Linked DNA regions of Saccharomyces cerevisiae S288C. Changing the gene in region 1 together with any one later gene gives a genetic interaction. Each region holds a gene or a part of one and is shown in the gene's direction. Other genes may lie near its edges. The genes, in order: YMR155W, YPS3, PAU7 and RDS1.

Region 1 (4,162 bases):
CATATATTTGACATTAGTTAAGATGGGCACGTCTTGTTTAAGGCCCTGCCCGGGCTGATAGTGGTTATCAAACATTATTGGCTTTATCAATTCATAGTCATTAAAGTAATATACTTGGATGTTAATTAAATCATGTGAGCTAGTTGAGATACATGCGGCGTCCATAAGTACTTGATAATCTTGTTCAGAGTGAACTTCCAACTCAAAAGTCGGATTTTGAAAAAAATTACAAGTATCAAATGAGGCTTTTCCCTCTATTTCATAAGGAAAAGAGAAAAGGACTTTGGCAAAAAGACTTTTTGTATCTTTCAATCTTTGAAAACATATTTCCTTCACAACTGAGAAAGAGTGAATACTGAAATTGTTGTTTGTTGTTGAATAACAATACAATAACCTCTCAGTCTCAGCATCTAATCTCAACTTTACCAGCTGAAGTCCAATGTGATTGCCACCGCATTCTACTGGAGGTTCAATTGGACAAATTATGCATTCGGGAGCCTCATTCAAAAAGGAAACTGACCGATTTTCTTGGCTGCCTTCATCTTGCAAATGGGATTCTAGCAATAACCATACCGTCTCTGTCACTTTAGAATTGTTTACCAGGTGAAATAAAGGTTTATCTGCAACGATAGAAAATTTATTGTAGCGTGAAGTATCGTACCGAAAATGAAGTACCTGAGAACGTTTGAATAATTTTTCTTGGTTCCAATTAAGATAAAGTTGTTTGAAATTTTTTAAATACTGTTCATAGCTGATTTCAACATTTAGTGCCGAGTTCCTCGGATCTCGCAATTTTACTAGCCTAGAATCATATGTGATATCAATTATAGAGTAATCATGGTTCTCAACTAGGGGCTTTATCATGTCATTGGAACGATTCCCGGTGCCAGCGCCCATCAGACATAAATTAGATTTGTGAAACTTCCATAATTTTTCGAAAGGATAGCTGTTTACTTGTGTTATCTCTGGTAAGAAGCCACTTAAGCGGTAAGTATCTATACTAATATTTGAGCCATCCGTGGAATATGTTCCTTTAGAAACAAGCAGTAATGCAAGCTCTCCAATTTTGTCCGAAATATCGTTACTCTTTAAAGAAAGTTGTTTGCCATCCACTGAGGTTGGGATCTGCGAAATATCTACTGTCACTAGCCTTTTGTTGCTTCCGTTAAAACTTAAATTGACGTGATATTTAGTTGATGATATTTGTTTAATTAGAGGGAGATTCAAGTTCTTAGACCTAAGATTAATTAGAGAAGCAACTAATGAGCAATCTGGCACATCTCGGCATTGTTCTATTCCGCCTGAATAGTCTTCTTCATTCTGTAACTTGGCTCTCCCTGGATAACGCCTTTGTAGTTCTTCAGTACCAGGTGCGCAATATTCGGTTTTATTCCAAGAAACCGGTGAGGCTTCTGAGATAGGTATAGGGGGATAAAACCTTGAATTAATAGTTGAAGTAAGCCATAAAAATCTTAATTGTTTATCTACTTTCGACACATTTTCTTTCAAAACTAAAACGGCCTCAATAAAAGTGGAATCTTCGCTTTTCATTGCCAAGCCAACCAATCTATTAATTATACTGCTTGAGTCACCTTCTGCATTACAATATATTGACTTTATCGCGGCATTGAACTCATGCCAATCATTCATTTTTGATACCACAAGGTTCTTGTCTTCGACTGAAATGGTCGAGTAACCGTTTAATAAGTTGTCTAGAGTTGATTATTGTGGTCCGTTTATGCCGACTAAAAGAACATTTAACTGTAGTATCATAAAATCAAAAAGGGATAAATATCCGCAAGAATACAAGAAAGAAGAAGTATATATGTTTTCTTTAAAATTTCAGAGCATAACTTGAGCCATGAAAAACCACTTCTCCTCAAGTTTATGTTGTTCCTCTATTTCCTACAGAAATATATTTACATTTGGTCGATATCGAAGATCTGGAGATAAGGTAAATAAATCCTGCGCGGTTCAAAGATACTCGATAAACAGCAACCAATGTTTCACAGAGTGCCATGGTAAAGAAACACCAAAATAGTAAAATGGGTAATACAAATCACTTTGGACATCTCAAAAGTTTTGTGGGAGGTAACGTGGTTGCCCTTGGTGCTGGAACACCTTATCTTTTCTCATTTTATGCTCCTCAGCTACTGAGCAAGTGCCACATACCTGTTTCTGCCTCAAGTAAGCTATCCTTCTCTTTAACAATAGGAAGCTCACTGATGGGAATTTTAGCAGGAATAGTTGTCGATCGAAGTCCTAAACTGTCCTGTCTAATTGGTTCAATGTGTGTTTTCATCGCGTATTTGATTTTGAATTTATGCTATAAGCACGAATGGTCTAGTACTTTTCTCATATCGTTAAGTTTGGTACTCATTGGATATGGTTCTGTCTCAGGTTTTTACGCTTCTGTGAAATGTGCAAATACAAATTTTCCTCAACACAGGGGTACAGCTGGGGCATTTCCTGTGTCCCTATACGGTTTATCGGGCATGGTGTTCTCATATCTTTGCTCAAAGCTTTTTGGTGAGAACATCGAGCATGTCTTCATTTTCTTGATGGTTGCGTGTGGTTGCATGATTTTAGTAGGCTATTTCTCATTAGATATATTCTCTAATGCAGAAGGAGATGATGCTAGCATTAAGGAATGGGAGCTTCAAAAAAGCAGGGAAACAGACGATAATATAGTACCGTTATATGAGAACAGTAATGACTATATAGGTTCACCTGTGCGTTCATCATCCCCTGCTACCTATGAAACTTATGCATTGTCAGACAATTTTCAGGAAACGTCAGAATTTTTTGCACTTGAGGATAGACAGTTATCAAATCGACCATTGTTATCACCTTCTTCCCCACACACAAAGTATGATTTCGAGGATGAGAATACCAGCAAAAATACAGTGGGCGAGAATAGCGCACAGAAAAGTATGAGATTACATGTATTCCAAAGCTTAAAATCTTCAACATTTATTGGTTACTACATAGTATTGGGTATACTACAAGGCGTGGGTTTAATGTACATATATTCTGTGGGGTTTATGGTACAAGCCCAGGTTTCTACTCCACCCTTAAATCAATTACCAATTAATGCAGAAAAAATTCAATCATTACAAGTAACTCTCCTGTCTCTTCTTTCATTTTGCGGCAGATTATCATCTGGGCCTATATCAGATTTTTTGGTCAAGAAATTCAAAGCTCAAAGACTATGGAATATTGTCATAGCATCGCTTTTGGTATTTCTTGCATCGAATAAAATATCCCATGACTTCAGCAGCATTGAAGATCCTTCTTTAAGAGCCTCCAAATCATTCAAGAATATTTCGGTATGCTCAGCGATCTTCGGTTATTCTTTTGGCGTTCTATTTGGTACTTTCCCCTCCATAGTAGCAGATAGATTTGGCACAAATGGGTATAGTACGCTGTGGGGTGTTTTAACGACTGGTGGTGTATTTTCAGTGAGTGTTTTTACCGATATATTAGGTAGAGATTTCAAGGCAAATACAGGAGATGATGATGGGAACTGTAAAAAGGGAGTGCTTTGCTACAGCTATACTTTTATGGTTACGAAATATTGTGCCGCTTTTAATCTTTTGTTCGTTTTGGGGATAATTGGATATACGTACTATCGAAGAAGAGCAACTGCAAATTCCCTGTAGACGGTGTCATCCTGACATTGCTTTCATATTCTTTTTCACCATCACAAATGAACATTTTAAGAAATATTACTATATACTGGTATATATTCAACATTTTACAACGGACTACCCGTGAAATATTTCCTCAGGGTACTTGAATTCAACGTGCAAGTTTTCAGCAAACTTTATGTCAGAATCACTGAAGTCCTTTTTCCTCCCAGCAGCGTCACCGCAATAATATATCCAATTCAACTTGATGGGAGAAATTTGTTCTGAAACCCTGTATGCACTTTCCAGGTCCCTTTTAAAAAACTCTACCATTCCTGTCATTGGTTTTCGAACTTTTTCGAATATGTTAGGATCATTGTTATAACTTTCACCTAAGCTTGCGAATGTGATCTTACTATGATTTGCTGCAAAAGTTTTCGGCCTTTTAGGTGCTGCATATAGCCATAACCTGTGTGATAACGTTTCTCCTCTCTCATCGTTTTTGATTGCCTTTAAAAATAGCAAAATTTTAT
Region 2 (4,091 bases), on another chromosome or scaffold:
AATCAAGAGACAAAGCTGCTGTGGTGGTGTTTTGTTAAACGTGTCTGTGAATGACTTCTTTCCGCTTGCGCACATTTTTCTACTGGCTCTCCTCACTAAATGTTAAGATTTCTGATATATGTGGACCACATTTCACCATTGTTGAAATGGACGGTATGATATGATTCGAATAAGACCTGGAATATGCACTCTAGCATACCAGGAGCTCTGGACATTGTATTCTTCTCATCTATTGTAAAACATCTCTCAATAGTAACGTATGAGTAATGATTCGGAATGGCATCTAGATTAGCAAATACTTGCTTGCTTGTTGAGGATAACCGTAAACTCGTCTGTTCTTAGTGCAAAAACCGTCCCAAAAGTAACAGACGGTAACTCATTCTACATTAACATTGGATGATATGTTGACAATAAATTCCGAGGGACAGCTCCGTTTCCTAGTGAATCTCGGTGGTTGTAATGAGGGTAAATCGCTGAGCATTTTTTTTTCTTCTCTTTACTACACCATTTAGAGTTCTCACTTTGTAAAATTCCGTCCTGATATGAGAATATATATCTCCACGAAGCAATACCAAGCACAAGAAAAACATAGCAATTTTTGCAAGGCCCGGTAACGCAAGATGTGATAACACGCTGCATCATTTTAATTAAGAGCGCGCCACTTCTCCAGATAGTGCTGTATTCATATATGTAAGTGCTCACACTTTCTGGGAACAGCGGAGTCATTAGAAGACTGGCTTCGCTGAAGTTGCTAGAACGAGCAAATTACAACATTATATTCAGCTTCAAGAAAAAACGCAGACAATGGACTCAGGATGATGAGAGGTTCCTTTGTACCACTAAGATCGACTCGTCCTAACCCTATATCCCAATCCCAAGACTAGGCGAACCAACATTAACTGGGCTCGTAATAGGGCAATGATAATGCAAAAGCGGCTCCTAAACAGAAATTCTTCAGTAGTCAAATCTCGAAATTGCCTTGCTCGTCATCAACATGAATCGTCTATATCAAAACTGCATGTTTCTCTACGTCTACACAGATGTTTGCGTCCGATTGTGCGCTTCGATTTTTTACATAATGCTGGAAGCAAAGTTTGCTCTCAGAATTCCTGCCCTTCGCCCCAGTTACACGTGGGGACAATGGCGCTCTTTCATACAGTCTTCATTCTATGGCCGCACTTTTGTGGCATTCTCTGGACCGTCCATGAAAAATTATATAACTATTTGCTTTCTATTGAAGTCTATTGAAGTTAGCGTGGATAGAACGGCGTTACATGGCACATCAGCTGAAGCTAGCGCAAGTAATTTTCAACGCATTCAAACGAAAAACTTATCTAAATACAATTGTAACATACCGGCTTGCTGTGTGTGAACCCCTTTCCCCAATTGTATATCAGAAACGTCTGAGTGGAGGGTGAGGAATCACTCACTACCTTTTCTCCATTCGACGCCTATAAGCAGCGTATTTTAAAGGAAAGGGGAATTAGTGCGGAGATGGGCCAGAAATGTACTCTTTTTTTGGCAGAGTTTTTCCGGGCGGGACAAAACAATGGCGTGGGGTGATGAAATAAGCAAAATTCAATATCCCTTATGACGGAATGGCAGAATTGGCCACCATTTTGTCTTGGCATTCAATATACATACAAATCTTCACTACCGCGATATTGTTGGTAATGGAGATTGCTTTTTGGCCTCCTGGCTTATAGGGCTCTGAGTCTCGTGGTAGTGGAATCCGGCACAGAAACGAGAATCGGATATTTGGGGCCGGGCCATGTACAGGCAAAAGAAATAGCGAAAATATCTCTTATTTTTTTCGCGCTTCCTTTGTAGTAGAAATTATTGGCGATCGGATTACTATTCGCGGAAAAGAAATTAAAAATAGCGAAGAACTTAGAACTATAAGCCTCAAAAGGAAACTTGTGTGGTCGAAGGCTGGACGCCATAATAATATATATATGTACGTATATATATTATATATGAATATCTGTAGCCGCTAACTTGTGTGTTTGTGAATTTATATAGGATAAATAGAGCAAAATTACTCGGCATTGAAAAATGAAACTTCAATTGGCGGCAGTGGCTACATTAGCAGTCTTAACTAGTCCGGCATTCGGTAGAGTACTTCCCGATGGGAAATACGTCAAGATTCCCTTCACAAAAAAAAAGAACGGCGACAATGGTGAACTCAGCAAGAGATCGAACGGCCATGAAAAATTTGTACTAGCTAACGAGCAAAGCTTTTATTCTGTTGAGCTAGCCATTGGTACACCTTCACAAAACCTCACTGTGCTGTTAGACACAGGCTCAGCTGACTTATGGGTTCCTGGCAAGGGAAACCCCTACTGCGGTTCTGTGATGGACTGTGACCAGTATGGCGTGTTCGACAAGACCAAGTCGTCCACGTTCAAAGCCAACAAGTCCTCGCCTTTTTATGCCGCTTACGGTGACGGAACCTATGCAGAAGGTGCATTTGGTCAAGATAAATTAAAGTACAACGAATTAGACCTCAGTGGTCTATCGTTTGCCGTGGCCAACGAATCTAACTCAACCTTTGGTGTGCTCGGGATCGGCCTTTCCACGCTTGAAGTCACCTATTCTGGAAAAGTCGCTATTATGGACAAGAGAAGCTACGAGTATGATAACTTTCCCCTGTTCCTAAAACATTCTGGAGCCATCGATGCAACCGCATACTCTCTTTTCCTAAATGACGAGTCACAGTCCTCCGGCAGCATCCTCTTCGGCGCTGTAGATCACAGCAAGTACGAGGGCCAACTGTACACTATCCCGTTGGTTAATCTTTATAAGTCGCAGGGTTATCAGCACCCGGTGGCGTTCGATGTCACTTTACAGGGCTTAGGACTGCAAACCGACAAGCGCAACATCACATTGACCACCACCAAGCTCCCAGCCCTACTCGATTCAGGCACAACGCTAACATATCTGCCCTCCCAGGCAGTGGCTTTGCTAGCAAAGAGCTTGAATGCCTCGTATTCCAAGACATTGGGTTATTATGAGTACACGTGTCCCTCGAGCGACAACAAAACCAGCGTGGCCTTCGACTTCGGTGGCTTCCGTATCAACGCTCCTCTATCCGACTTTACTATGCAGACCAGTGTGGGGACCTGTGTCTTGGCAATAATTCCACAAGCGGGCAACGCCACCGCTATCCTTGGTGATTCCTTCTTGAGAAACGCCTACGTGGTCTACGATTTGGATAACTACGAGATTTCCCTAGCTCAAGCCAAGTATGGCACGGGGAAAGAGAACGTCGAAGTCATCAAATCTACCGTTCCCAGTGCAATAAGGGCCCCCAGTTACAACAACACTTGGTCTAACTACGCCTCCGCCACGTCCGGTGGTAATATTTTTACCACCGTGCGCACTTTCAATGGCACCAGTACTGCCACCACTACGAGGTCAACCACCACCAAGAAGACAAACTCTACCACTACTGCAAAGTCGACTCATAAAAGCAAGAGGGCACTCCAGAGGGCTGCTACCAACTCCGCTTCCAGTATACGCTCTACCTTGGGTTTACTGCTAGTCCCCTCCTTACTCATCCTTTCCGTTTTCTTTTCGTAAAAAAAAACAATAGACACTATATATAGACACTTTTTCCTTTCCTTCTTTGCGCGATTTCAAGAGGAAAAGCATACTTAAATAAGAATATTCCTAAAACACACGTTCTGACGCGTCAATTAGATCGTCAGACCTTGCATGCAGCCAAGACACCCTCACATAGCACTGCCTCCTTCCTCCTCTTTTCTGTCACCACCTCACCTCCCTCGTCCACTCAACTGAGTGGCTTTTCGCTCCTTTTATACTGCGCCATGAGTAGTTTTCGTTTCACTGATGTGTCCGAAAAAATTGAGGTTTCATAAAAAAATTCGTGGACTTATTTATGGAGAAACAGGGAAATCCGACTACTTAAGAAAAGGGTGTCAAAGAGGATTTACTTTTTTCCTTCTTTTTGCATTTGTTCCTATTTCCGCAATTGGACGGTTATTAAGAAGAACGCAATTGGCTTTTCTGTATATTAAAATACATAGCGTAATAAAAAGATAAGGTGAACACCAAGCATATAGTATAAT
Region 3 (2,747 bases), on another chromosome or scaffold:
GATTTCGAAGGAGATCAAATTCGAAATAATCTGCGAATTTATTATGATCGACTAGGCAACGAAGACGCAGTTTTCTATTAAATCTGTGCGTTTGAGTAACTTAACTGACTATAATATCGCAATCTTAACATCATTAAACAATGTAAAAGAGGTCATACGCTATAAGAAGTTGATTTGATCCCCCGTGGATTTTGAAAAATGTCAAGATCAGCATATTGACCCATGTTTTTCCGCTCAATCCAGTCTATCAATCATTTTTCAACAAGGATAACCATAACATTCACCCACCATGCTTTGGTTCATAAGATATACGGGGAGATCAGCAACTCTTCAACTTATTGAACATGTTGAGAGCAGGATTAAATAATCAATGTCCTGTGATTGCAACATCTATCATGCCTGACGTTTCTCGAACGATACAATCTACAATTTAATGAGCCATTTTAGCATATTAACGAGGGCTGCATGAGGATCGAATGGACAAAAGTGTTTTCAGGCATGGGAGAATGGGATGCTTATAGAGGAGTTTAACCATGAAATTAAATGATTCTCCAGCAAGAAAAAAAAAACTCCTGACTCAGTTCATGTGGCGGGAAATTTCTCTCATTGTCTCCCCCTGCAGCGCTACTAATCTTAAAGGTAGTGGTGGCTTCGACATTATATCGTTGGTTCAGGTTGTCCGATCACTAATGATCTGTTACTTTATTGCTATGTTATGTGTCAAAAGGTGATATCCCCATTTTTACTGATCGCAGTAATATTTTAACCTGCCATGGTTAAATTGTTTATTGTCATTGAGTTGAGCACTTTTTCATTGCACTGTAGTTGTTGCGTATTTCAGACTTACTCTTATAGTGACGCTAACAGGAGGTCTGGCTCTTAATACAAGGACGTCGTAATATTCTGTTCACCGGACTCGAAAGCAAGAAGGAAAAAAGCACATTGTAGCCTTTTCAAAAACCTATCTTTTGGTACTAATTTATGGCGGCCCATACAGAGAGCTACCCTAAGAAATAGTTCGCATTCGTATATGAACTTCGGCTTTGAATATTGCGGATTCGTGCACAATACAAGACTTCTGTCGTTCCATGTCATCTATTGCGCGATTATTTTTTCACCAATTCCTTTCATTTCTAGTGGTTTCAAGGCGCAAGATTAATCTTAGATTTTACCTCCATCAAAAGCTCGGTAATTGGCACGTCATTTTACTATATGGCCTCAACAACATCGCTATACAGATTTGGGCGCCCTACTTAGCGAGACTTCCTACATTTGGAAATTACCCTAAAGGCATATTCTCTTCATGTAATAGCTCGCACAATGTAACCCGATTCAATTGATGCCCCAGTCGTCATTTATGTACAAGCATATCTACGCTGGCTCTGAGACTTGTGTTGTCCAAACAAGAACCCCCATCATATCTAGCGTGAGTATCAAATGGTTGGCAATAGTTTGTGTGGTCTGATTATTTACGTACAGCTCCCCTTTTTGTGTGCATATTCCTGCAGATGCGACTCTAAGAGCTCACACTTAATTTTTCATTGTTTCTAATTTGGGAAAAGTCCGATTTCCCTCCTACTAACCGTTTAGTGCCAAGGGTGAGATGGCCCTTGAACGAGGGCCCAAAATAAATTTGGCTTTGGTTCTATTTCTTGGCCAAAACTGCAGCTGCAGCCCTATAGGCACTTTTCCTGTAGAGAACATTCTTGTGCTATGGAACATATGAAAGGATGGGGCATAAAAAAACGGCTTCCTATACGAAGTATAGCATCGTTCAAGAACAACCCGTCCCCATAGTAATAATGACTTAGTCGCTAAGTGGAATGTGGAAGGCATGAGTGTGAGATGGGCGACCAGTAAGAGCCCATGTGTGCAGATGTAGTTGTTCAAAGTTTCATATAAATACAGCGGCTTGATCAGCTTTGTTTGAGACATTTCTCTGTTCTTTTCCTTCCAGTTAAGCCTATATCATCACTAAGCAATAACCCAAAAAACAACAAATACAATGGTCAAATTAACTTCAATCGCTGCCGGTGTCGCCGCCATTGCTGCTGGTGCCTCCGCCGCAGCAACCACTACATTATCTCAATCTGACGAAAGAGTTAATTTGGTTGAATTAGGTGTTTATGTTTCCGATATCAGAGCTCATTTGGCTGAATACTACTCTTTCTAAGCTGCTCACCCAACTGAAACTTATCCAGTTGAAATTGCAGAAGCTGTTTTCAACTACGGTGATTTCACCACCATGTTGACTGGTATTCCCGCCGACCAAGTTACCAGAGTTATCACTGGTGTTCCATGGTACTCCAGCAGATTAAAGCCAGCTATCTCTAGTGCTCTATCCGTAGACGGTATCTACACTATCGCAAACTAGAGTCCCTGCTTTACGAATGAAACCTGTACAGGTATGAGAGGTTACGAAAAAAAATGATAAATGAAAAAAAAAAAGCTTAATAATATGAAATTAATAGTATGAATAGTTAGGCGCATGTATATAAATATAAATTTTTGTATATATGTATTATTAATATTATAAATTTCTTATTATTAAACCATCCTTTACGGAAATAACGGCCTATTCCCTTAGTATTTTGTTGTAGCTCGTGGAGTTATCCATTTTAAATGGATCTTGGGATAATTTTTACTGCTTCCCTCGTACTGGGAGCTTAATACACGTTCGTCTTGTTATCATCATAAATATGTGTTTATTATTCTCGCCTGGAAGGAAATCTTCAGTATAAATTCGT
Region 4 (4,505 bases), on another chromosome or scaffold:
ACGGCTACATTTCACAAGGAGGCTTTGCCTCCCACGTGAGGCTTCATGAACACTTTGCTATTCAAATACCAGAAAATATTCCAAGTCCGCTAGCCGCTCCATTATTGTGTGGTGGTATTACAGTTTTCTCTCCACTACTAAGAAATGGCTGTGGTCCAGGTAAGAGGGTAGGTATTGTTGGCATCGGTGGTATTGGGCATATGGGGATTCTGTTGGCTAAAGCTATGGGAGCCGAGGTTTATGCGTTTTCGCGAGGCCACTCCAAGCGGGAGGATTCTATGAAACTCGGTGCTGATCACTATATTGCTATGTTGGAGGATAAAGGCTGGACAGAACAATACTCTAACGCTTTGGACCTTCTTGTCGTTTGCTCATCATCTTTGTCGAAAGTTAATTTTGACAGTATCGTTAAGATTATGAAGATTGGAGGCTCCATCGTTTCAATTGCTGCTCCTGAAGTTAATGAAAAGCTTGTTTTAAAACCGTTGGGCCTAATGGGAGTATCAATCTCAAGCAGTGCTATCGGATCTAGGAAGGAAATCGAACAACTATTGAAATTAGTTTCCGAAAAGAATGTCAAAATATGGGTGGAAAAACTTCCGATCAGCGAAGAAGGCGTCAGCCATGCCTTTACAAGGATGGAAAGCGGAGACGTCAAATACAGATTTACTTTGGTCGATTATGATAAGAAATTCCATAAATAGTCTATATACGTAATATTTTTCAGAATCTCTTAAAATGCATGTCAAATCTCGGAATTTATCATGACCCATTACATAACAAGAGAAAAGTGGTTTGCATTGTATGTATACCTTAAACCAATTCTTCGGTAGTCACATGACCTATATATAGGGACATTCATTTCTTGAATAGGATATTTCTTAAACTTAAGGGAAATTTTGATGAAAATTTAGAATCTCTCGACAACAGTGCAGAGCAGTAAGTTTTATTCAATACGAAATGTGTGCAGGGTTTTACCCATTCATGTCGAGTACGTCTACATTTGTTCTGCGATTTAACTTAATACTTAGCCTACTCATATGTATCGAAGCCAAACTATTAAATCTGAAAACTGAATACCCATTAAGTAGGTACATTAATGCAATTTTCGTCCGAAAGGTAGAGTGTTAATCATGCTTTTACTTCGAAATCTAGAGTCCGAGCATGTCTGATGAGGTCCTCTTAAAGCACTTCAATTTTAAAAGAGAAGAGCGCAAATTTTTACAAAGAATGCCTATATTAATATACTGTGCTATCTAAGAGGATGGTTCAATGGTTTGAAATGAGTTGAAAAATAAAGATTTACATAGTAGCGTGTATTCTTCACATTTTTGCATTCGGTAGATTTTCTACTCAAGACCCGTGCAGATCACTATTACACTCATTATTACAAGTCATTGAGAACGAAATTTTGACATCATTACTAATAATGTTACTCATTAATACTTTATTAATGTAAGCGGTAGATAAACAAATGAACATGAAATTGGCTGCTGAAATGCTCTGATGGATTCGATTACAGTAAAAAAACCTCGGTTAAGATTGGTTTGCCTGCAATGCAAAAAGATCAAACGGAAATGTGATAAACTGCGGCCTGCTTGCTCGCGATGCCAACAAAATTCATTACAGTGTGAATATGAAGAGAGAACAGATTTATCTGCCAATGTTGCAGCAAACGACTCTGATGGATTCAATTCCTCTCATAAGCTCAATTTCGAACAGCAACCTGTACTTGAAAGGACTGGGCTTAGATATTCCTTACAAGTGCCTGAAGGTGTCGTTAATGCTACGCTGTCGATATGGAACGCCGAAGATATGCTAGTTATAGTAGGATTAGTTACATTTCTGGATTATCCTTTTGCTGCGCATAGTCTGGCGCAACATGACCAGTATATCAGGGCACTTTGTGCTTCGTTGTACGGCATGGCGCTTGTTGACTTTAGCAATTATGCTAATGGTATTCCTTGTGAAGACACATCAAGAAGTATACTAGGACCATTGTCATTCATAGAAAAGGCCATTTTTAGACGGATAGAACATAGTAAGCAATTTCGAGTTCAGTCTGCCGCCTTAGGGTTATTATACAATGCATTTTCAATGGAAGAAGAAAACTTCTCGACTCTTCTACCGTCACTCATCGCTGAAGTGGAAGACGTGTTGATGCAAAAAAAAGACTGTGAAATACTTTTGAGGTGTTTCTATCAAAATATTTATCCCTTCTATCCTTTTATGGACATTTCACTCTTTGAGAGCGATCTCACTAGTTTGCTTTTACAAGACGACAATAATCGTTGGAAAATTAGTACTGAAGTTAAAAATGTGCGCAAAAAAATAGAAACTTTGTCATTACTTACAATAGTAATGGCCATGGCCTTGATGCATTCAAAATTGGATGCAAATCTTCTTTCAATGGTAAAAGAAAATGCCTCCGAAAGTGCCAGGAAACTTTCTCTTTTATGTCATAAACTATTATGCCTCCTGGATGTATTTCGCTATCCAAATGAGAACACTTTTACTTGCCTTTTATATTTCTACGTTTCAGAGCATTTAGATCCCGAGAGTCCCGATTGTGTACTGAGCCCCACTAACTTGCTTACTCTGCACCATCTTTTAAATTTGTCCATGACCTTAGGTCTTCAATATGAGCCTTCGAAGTACAAACGTTTCAAAGATCCAGAAGTGATAAGGCAGAGACGGATATTATGGTTAGGAGTTCAGTCATTACTTTTTCAAATTTCTCTTGCTGAAGGTGATGCTGGTAAATCAAATAGTGAATATATGGAGGCATATTTAACAGACTTCGAAGAATATATTGAAGCTTCCTCAGAGTATGAAAAAAGTTCTGCGAGTGAATCGAACGTGCAAATGAATGATATTGTTTGGAATAAGTACAAATTTCACGTCATTTTGAGTAAACTAATGTCTGATTGCACTTCAGTTATACAACATCCGCAGCTTTTCCACATTTTAGGAAATATTAAAAGATCTGAAGATTTTATGGCTGAGAACTTTCCTACAAGTTCGATTTACCAACCCCTTCATGAAAAGGAACCAAATGCGATCAAAGTTGGCAAAAGTACGGTTCTCGATGTCATGGATATTCAAAAAACTGAAATATTTCTTACAAATATTGTGGGAAGTATGTGTTTTTTAAACATTTTTGATGTCCTATCGTTACATTTTGAAAAAAAATGTGTTATGCACTGGGAAGAATATGAAAAGAACTATCATTTCCTTACTTTGAAAAGTTTCAATGCATACTTAAAGCTAGCAGGGTTGATATCTGATTATCTCGAGAATAAGTTTCAAGGGAACATTTTAGAGAGTCGCGGTTATATCATAGATAAACAAATATGTTTTATGCTTGTAAGGATCTGGATGTTCCAATGTCGTATTTTGTTAAGGTTTTCATACAAGCAAGAAAGTCAGAAAAAATTGGCCTCTTCCAGTATATCCACTAACGATAATGAAAAAGAAGATGAAATGATTGTCATTTTAGAAAGACTTATTAAACACATTCGTAACCAAATGGCACATTTAGTGGATCTAGCAAAGGGAAAACTTCAAGATAGTTACTTTGGTGCTTACCAAACTGTTCCCATGTTTAGATACGTTGTGTATTTGATCGATGTTGGCGGCTTAGTATCTGTGACAAATGGGTTTTGGGATAAGATTTCCAGTGATGGTGAAATACCGCCAAAAGTACAACAAGCCGTGAGATTGAAATGGGGATTGGACTGCAATAATTCGAGAAGAATCAAACAAAAGTTAATAAGCAGCCAGAGTTTGCAGAGTTTCAATCAAGTTCTGTTGTGCCAGATGGAGGATGCAGTTCTCTCCAGTTCCTTCGCAATAAAAGCCAATACCGCTATGTCCCAAAACACGGCTGAAGAATTTTTCAATATCAGCGAAGAAGAGGCTTTAAATCAACTATTGGAAAACAACAATTTTGATGCCTTCTGGGATTTATTAGGTGAAAATCTGAGCGATATGCCTTCTTTGTGAGAATACGGATATTTGGAAAGGCTAAAAAAAAAAAAACAAGCCAAAAACAAGAAACACTGTTATCCTCCACGTTTTTTCCACTGTTTTAAGACTCGACAAGACGGAAAGATTCCTCACATTTCGCAGTGTTTCTTTTAACCTGCTCGTCAATTTGAAAAAATGAGCATGGTTAGGCAGGCGGAATGTAATAGGTGCGGTGCGTATAAATAAGTATCTCGGCCGTTCCTCTATTGCGCTCGGCCGAGATGTCCTACATGCATAAAATAGATTAAAAAAAGGGATCACGATACTCAAATATGCATATAATAACAACAACACACTTTGCGGTAAATAGAAGGATAATATCGTAATCTTTTGCTGGTTTCGATGATGACTTGAAAAAATTCAATTACTCTTTCGATCATCTAGAAGAAGCATATCCATCGTGCTTAAAATGATTGGGTCCGCGTCCGACTCATCTAGCAAGTTAGGACGCCTCCGATTTCTTTCTGAAACTGCCG

The links.
Region 2: mutations in YMR155W (region 1) and YPS3 together harm fitness less than expected from each alone (positive genetic interaction), as found in Saccharomyces cerevisiae (one large-scale study listed by BioGRID).
Region 3: mutations in YMR155W (region 1) and PAU7 together harm fitness more than expected from each alone (negative genetic interaction), as found in Saccharomyces cerevisiae (one large-scale study listed by BioGRID).
Region 4: mutations in YMR155W (region 1) and RDS1 together harm fitness more than expected from each alone (negative genetic interaction), as found in Saccharomyces cerevisiae (one large-scale study listed by BioGRID).

What each region holds. Positions count from the first base shown.
Region 1 is NC_001145.3:566,533-570,694, forward strand, and holds YMR155W (uncharacterized protein), read left to right. Parts: upstream 1-2,018; coding exon 2,019-3,662; downstream 3,663-4,162. Other genes in the region: RIM13 (Rim13p), read right to left, coding at 1-1,650; TPP1 (polynucleotide 3'-phosphatase), read right to left, coding at 3,768-4,162.
Region 2 is NC_001144.5:388,235-392,325, reverse strand, and holds YPS3 (aspartyl protease), read left to right. Parts: upstream 1-2,055; coding exon 2,056-3,582; downstream 3,583-4,091. Other genes in the region: YLR122C (uncharacterized protein), read left to right, coding at 995-1,372. UniProt on the Saccharomyces cerevisiae protein: Cleaves proteins C-terminally to mono- and paired-basic residues. Required for cell wall integrity.
Region 3 is NC_001133.9:176,282-179,028, reverse strand, and holds PAU7 (seripauperin PAU7), read left to right. Parts: upstream 1-2,005; coding exon 2,006-2,173; downstream 2,174-2,747.
Region 4 is NC_001135.5:309,452-313,956, forward strand, and holds RDS1 (Rds1p), read left to right. Parts: upstream 1-1,506; coding exon 1,507-4,005; downstream 4,006-4,505. Other genes in the region: ADH7 (NADP-dependent alcohol dehydrogenase), read left to right, coding at 1-704; AAD3 (putative aryl-alcohol dehydrogenase), read left to right, coding at 4,439-4,505. UniProt on the Saccharomyces cerevisiae protein: Zinc cluster transcription factor involved in resistance to cycloheximide.